Linked DNA regions of Callithrix jacchus. The protein of the gene in region 1 interacts with the protein of each later gene in a biochemical or structural test. Links are inferred from orthologs where the notes say so. Each region holds a gene or a part of one and is shown in the gene's direction. Other genes may lie near its edges.

Evidence for each region.
Region 2: the proteins of RRM1 (region 1) and RRM2 form a complex in vitro, tested with the Homo sapiens proteins (3 studies listed by BioGRID and IntAct). The link is inferred for Callithrix jacchus from reciprocal best matches to the Homo sapiens genes RRM1 and RRM2.

Annotation. Positions count from the first base shown.
Region 1 is NC_133511.1:69,575,187-69,579,014, forward strand, and holds part of RRM1 (ribonucleoside-diphosphate reductase large subunit), read left to right. Parts: intron 1-1,079; coding exon 1,080-1,229; intron 1,230-1,435; coding exon 1,436-1,657; intron 1,658-3,502; coding exon 3,503-3,579; intron 3,580-3,828. UniProt on the Homo sapiens protein: Provides the precursors necessary for DNA synthesis. Catalyzes the biosynthesis of deoxyribonucleotides from the corresponding ribonucleotides.
Region 2 is NC_133515.1:104,869,873-104,872,819, reverse strand, and holds part of RRM2 (ribonucleoside-diphosphate reductase subunit M2), read left to right. Parts: intron 1-397; coding exon 398-531; intron 532-2,235; coding exon 2,236-2,330; intron 2,331-2,458; coding exon 2,459-2,592; intron 2,593-2,947. UniProt on the Homo sapiens protein: Provides the precursors necessary for DNA synthesis. Catalyzes the biosynthesis of deoxyribonucleotides from the corresponding ribonucleotides. Inhibits Wnt signaling.

The DNA of each region.
Region 1 (3,828 bases):
TCCTACCTGAAGATTTTTGCTCTTTCTTGCCACTTGAATGTTAAAATGCACCCCCTCTCCCCATAGCCACATAGTTTGGTTTCTAACCTGTTAGTTCTTTGTTCATATGCAATATTTTCCGTGAAGTTTTTCTTGACAACTCTGTTTAAAAATGACACCCCTTCATCTTTATCCCCAGTACTCTCTGTCTTCTTTTCCTGCCTATTTTTCTCCCTGGCATTTATTAGACTTCTGTGATCCAAGCTATATTTTAAAAACAGGTATTTGGCAACATGTGTAGAATGGAGTTGATGTGAAGGGCATCAAGAGTTCAACTGATGCCAGGTGAGAGAAGTTGAGACTTTGGGTTGGAATGGTCATAATCCAAATGGAAAAGGAAGTATATTCATTCAACATTATCAAGACTTACTGTATGCCAGATGTGTTGCTAGTGCTATAAATATAAATATATATAAGATGTGATCCTTGTGTTAAGAAGCTCACTGCCTAGTGTAGTGTAGTGGAGGAATCACTGGAAGAGCTTTTTTGAAATTCAAAAATTAGGATCCTTTGTTGCTAAGCTTGTCAGAGTTTCAGTGAGGTGAGGTAGACATGTGTTTTGAAGAACTTTCTGCAGTGATGGAAATATTCTCTATCTGGCAGCTAGTGAACATTTGAAACATGACTAGTGCAACTGAAAAACTCAAATTTTATTTCATTTTAAATAGATACATGTAGCTAGTGCCTACCATATTGCAGGCAGTCATCTACTGAATACTGAGATAAGTGTATGTAAAATGTTAATTATAACATAGTGTGATATATGTCTGGTAATAGAGATGTGTACTGTGGAACACTGGGTTCTCTAGCTTACCTATTTTGCTGATGCATGTTATAACTAACATATATGATTAGGTATTGAAATAGAATCAGTGGGATTTAGAAATAGACTGATGAATGGTGAAGAGGGAGAAGTCAAATATAAACATTTAAAATTTTAATGTCTGAGAGTCTTAGAGGCTCACGTGGTGGTGTGATTGATACAGAGAGTAGAAATAAAAATTGTGTGATTCTTGACCTTTTTTTTTTTTACATTCCAGGTTGCTGTTTGTAATTTGGCTTCCCTGGCCCTGAATATGTATGTCACATCAGAACACACATATGACTTTCAGAAGTTAGCTGAAGTCACTAAAGTCATTGTCCGAAACTTGAATAAAATTATTGATATAAACTACTATCCTGTACCAGAGGTATGAATAGATTTCTCTCCTTATTGGCAATGATTGAAATCCAAATTGAAAGGAATCAGTCATGATCTGCAAGTCATCATTTAAATGGTTATCAATAAAATGGTGTGAGAAAGCTGAGATAAAAGAGGTAATCTCTTTCATTTGGTGTAGAATGTTGCTTTTCCTGTTCAGTAATGTTTTCTCCTTTAAAATCTGTTGACACAAAGGCATGCCTATCAAATAAACGTCATCGCCCCATTGGAATTGGGGTACAAGGTCTGGCAGATGCTTTTATCCTGATGAGATACCCTTTTGAGAGTGCAGAAGCTCAGTTATTGAATAAGCAGATCTTTGAAACTATTTATTACGGAGCCCTGGAAGCCAGCTGTGACCTTGCCAAAGAGCATGGACCATATGAAACCTATGAGGGCTCTCCAGTTAGCAGAGGAGTAAGTATATGGATGAAATTGTTTTTGCCTATAAGTAACTGTAGTGGGCTGAATGGTCACCCGACAAAAGGATATGTCCGCATCCTAATTCCTGGAACCTGTGAATTTCATTCAAAAAAGGGTTTTTACAGATGTAATTAAGAACCTTGAGATAAGGCGATTTACCTAGATCATCCAGGTGGGCTCTAAATCTAATGACAGTTGTCTGGCAAGAGACATAGAAGGGGAAGCAACATGACTATGAAGGCAGAAATTGGAGTGTTAAAACCACAAGCTGTGGAATGCTGATAGCCACTATAAGAGGCAAGGAACAGAATCTCTTCTAGTGCCTTTGGAGGGAGTGTGGCCCTCCCAACATGTTGATTTTGGGCTTCTGGTCTTCAGCCTATAAGATAATAAATTTTTGTTACTTTAAGTTTACAAGTTTTTGGTAATTTGTTGCACCAGCTGAAGGAAACTTTAATACCTTTGTCCTCTGGAGTAAAAATGATATTCTGTTTTAATCTCTTATTTAGAACTAGTCATTGCTAAAATAATGTAAGAGGGATGCTGCTTGTGTTAGTTTTCTGTGGATTAAAACATGCATTCATTATCTCACAGTTTCCGCAGGTCAGGAGTCCAGACTTAGCTGGGCCCTTTTTGTGTCTGTGTTCAAGATGTTGGTATGGGCTGTGGTCTTATCTGAGGCACAGAGTTCTCTTCCAGGCTCACCTGGTTGTTGGCAAAATATGTTTTGAGAATTCATGGCATCTTGCTTCTTTAAGGCCAGTCGGGAGACAATCTCTCATTTCAAATGGGGCACAGTCTCGTCTCTCTTTTGAGGGCTTTCACCTGATAAGTCAGGTCTACATAGGATAATTACCCTCTCACCTTTCCACCTCCCCCCTGCTTTTTTAGTGGGGGCAGAGTCTCACTTTGTCACCCAGGCTGGAGTGTGTGGTGTGATCTCAGATCACTGCACCCTCCGCTTCCCAGGTTCAAGTGATTTGATTCTCCTGCCTCAAGTCTCCCAAGTAGCTGGGATTATGGGTGTGTGCCACCTCATCTGTCTAATTTTTGTATTTTTAGTAGAGATGGGTTTTACCCTGTTGGCCAGGCTGGTCTCAAATTCCTGACCTCAGGTTATCCGTCTGCCTCGGACTCCCTAAGTGCTGGGGTTACAGGCATGAATCACTGTTCCTGGTGTAATCTTCCTTTTATTTAACTCACAATCAGCTGATTTGCAACCTTAATTACCCCTGCAGAAACCTTTCACCTTTGCCATAATCACTGGAGTGACATCCATCCTATTCTCAGGTCATGTCCACACTCAAGTGGAGATTATAAACAGCCTGTGCACTAAGGTGTGGGAATCTGGGGAGCTGTCTTAGAATTCTGCCTTTATTATCAGTAATGTGATTCTTTTCTACATAAAATGTTAATTTCATTTCTGACATTCCTGCTGATATTAGAAAATCTATTCTGTGCTGATATTAGAAAATAGGCGTTTTTAGCTAAGTAAACAGATCAAGGGACAGATCAAGGCAATGAAGAAAGACAAGGTTAAAGTGACAGTTTTACTGTAAAAAAATGTTATCAGCCACATGCTTTCATGAATGTTAGAGTTTTCTGGTTTGTAGATATTATGTGGGATAATCAGCTTTCTTAACCTACTTCTGATTAATATGACTACATGGAATTTTGTCCAGGAAAATCTCTAGAGCATGTATTCCTCATCATAGAGGTCGATTAGAAGACAGCATTTGTTTGGGATGTGGGGCATGGCAGCTAGTCTTTTTTTTTTTTTTTTTTTTTGGTCATAATTTTAACTTGCTGTAGAATAAATTTGAGTTGTGTATTCCTTAGATTCTTCAGTATGATATGTGGAATGTTACTCCCACAGACCTATGGGACTGGAAGCTTCTCAAGGAGAAGATTGCAAAGTAAGTGAAGAGATGTAAAGTAACTCTGAAGGCAGAAGGGTTTAGGTTCTCCTTCTGGCTCTTCAGAAGTTAGATATGTCAGTTTAACTTCTTAAACTCATTTATTACAAGTGGGGCTAAAATGACCTATCTCACAGAGCTATTTTGGGAAGACTTCGTAAAATAATATATAGAGTAACTTGTAAGTTGCTTGGCACAATGAAAGCATTTCAGTACATGGTAGGAATTACTATTATTAGTTGATCTTAT
Region 2 (2,947 bases), on another chromosome or scaffold:
CAAACTCCCGACCTCAGGTAATCCACCCGCCTTGCCTCCCAGAGTGCTGGGATTACAGGCGTGAGCCAATACGCCCGGCCCTGCTCCCTCCTTTTGGCGGCTTTGCTGTTTAGATAGTAATTTGGTTGTATCTCTTACTATGAACAGATCTTTCTTGACATAAATTAGGAAATAATTGAGTGCTCAAAGAAATCCTATTTTATATGTTTCTATTTCCTGATCTGTAAATTGAGCATAGGATATAAAATATCACACTTTGTCACAGAATTGTGAAGAATTGGATGAAATATATATAGAAAGAAATCTTACAAGGGTGCAGAACGTGATGCTACCATCCATTGACAAGAGTTGCTGTCGCCAGTTTTTTCTCAAGCTTGACTTTGTGTTTTGCCACTAGGTGGAGCGATTTAGCCAAGAAGTTCAGATCACAGAAGCCCGCTGTTTCTATGGCTTCCAAATTGCCATGGAAAACATTCATTCTGAAATGTATAGTCTCCTTATTGACACTTACATAAAAGATCCCAGCGAAAGGTGCGTATTCAAGTGGTATGCCAAGATTTTTAGGACTCTTTAATTGTTGATTTGTGGCAAAGTTTTAGTTCATCTAGGGATAAAAATGACTCCAGAATGACTAAGCAGACATAGACATTTCCAGCACCCGTGGTCATGTCTGCTCTTAGCAAGGGGCCTAAATTCACTTTATTATTCACGTAGAGTTGTGAAGGTGCTCCACTTTTAGAGTTGGATGCCTACCAATCTAAAGCCTTTTTTTGAAGGAATTCCTACATGTTGGGTAAGACAAACTAAAACCTATGTCTGACCATCTTTGGTCATTTGGTAAATTTGTTGAGAAACTAGAATGTGGGGCTGCAGCAGGATGAAGGGCGGGGAGGACTTCCTGCTGAGGGGTTGCAGTACACTACAGGCAAATAAGAGGAGTTACACAGGCAGAGGCAGCAGTGAGCCCTGAGATGGATTTAGGTATGCAGCAGTTTGACTGAATAAAGATAGCATTAGGTCTGTTTTATGTTTTGGAGATTGATTGGAGGCGATGGGTTAGAAACGGGCTGTTGGAGTAGTCTAGACACTAAGGTCAGCTTTAGGGACTGGAGCCTCCATATGGAGTAGAAGTGGTGAAGCTGAAACCTAATGTGGCTGTTGTAAAATTAGAAGTGCATGAACAGGAAAGTGGTAACTTGAAAGGACTGAAGAAACTCGTTCTGGGTGAAGAGATTTGAATATGTTTATATAGGTGGAAATTGAGAAAAGAAGGCAAAGATTAGGGGTACGACTGGGGGCAAATGACCAGAAGGAGAATGGGTGGATTCAGGAAGTTCTGGGGAAGCCTCAAAAGCAAGGGAGAGGCAGACCCAGGTCTCAAAGAGAAGGACAGTGAGATGGAAAGAGAATAAAAGGCAGCCAAATGTGGTAGTGTGAGTCCCAGCCACTTGGCACAGCGAGGCAGAAGGATGGCTTGAGCCCAGGAGTTTGGTTTTAACATGAGCTATGATTATTTCACTGCACTCTAGCCTGGGCAACAGAGTGAGACCCTCATCCCTTAAATAAATAAACAGAAATGAAAGCTGCCCAATGTCTGGTGACCTTGGCTTCAGAACACAAGGTCATCTGGTAGGAACAGGCTGAGAAATCAGTAGCCTCTCAAGGTGGGCACCAGAAGAGTGGTAAGGGAGACCCACTTAACTAATACCCATGGATTTACTTTGCTGACCTGGGATTGACAGTGTAGGACAGAATTTTAGTAGGAAGCAATCTTTGTTTATTGGTTTAATTATTTTATGATAGAGATGTGGCAATTGGGGCCAAATAATGCACCCAGGGATAGTCTGATAATAGCATGGCAGTTAGGATTTTATGGTTCTTTAAATTTTATGGTTCGTCACATGGAACTATGACCTGGACTTGAAATAATAAAGGCAACAAATGTCCCTGCTGTACTGACCCACGTTTTACTGTTTGTAGACCCTGAAGCTCCATATGAACTACAGATTACCCACATTTGTATTAACGTAAATCAAATGTTGAGACTTTTAAAAGAACACTGGAGGGAAAAGCTGACCAATAAAAATAAAACATTTTGACATGGGTTCTTCCTTTGAGAAGAGAATCAGCAAATACTTGAATTTGGCCTTTGTCCCAGAGCTCTTATCTAGCAGCTGGTAATCGGGGGTCTTTTACTGTAATACTTCAATTGCTGATGCTGTGTGTGCCTACTAGGGAATTTCTCTTCAATGCCATTGAAACGATGCCTTGTGTCAAGAAGAAGGCAGATTGGGCCTTGCGCTGGATTGGGGACAAAGAGGCTACCTATGGTAAGGAGACCCTTGCCCCCACTTCAGCTTGAGCTTCATTTTCCATGTAATGTTACTGGATTGTTGACCCTTCCTATGAATACCAACAGTTACTCACTAGAATCCTATTGCTGTTAACTCTTAAATAGGTGAACGCGTCGTAGCCTTTGCTGCAGTGGAAGGCATCTTCTTTTCTGGTTCTTTTGCATCCATATTCTGGCTCAAGAAACGAGGACTGATGCCTGGCCTCACATTTTCTAATGAACTTATTAGCAGAGATGAGGTGAGTCTGAATCAAATCATAGGGTAACTGGAGTCCCAGACACAACTCGGGCATGCTCTGGCGTTTACTGATGGGGACCTGAGATACTAGATGGCATATATCCATGTTTAATGTGTGAGTTCGACCATACACATACTTGACAAAAGAAGGAAATACTTTAATTTACTGAAATTATTTTACTTGTATTCTCTATAATACATTAGTATATACCTATTGCCTTATAGGCTTTGAATGTGTAAAAAAGTACAAGTTTGTTTTTTGGGGGAACAGAATCTTGCTCTGTCGCCCAGGCTAGACTGCAGTGGTGTGATCTTGGCTCACTGCAATCTCCGCCTTGCAGATTCAAGCGGTTCTC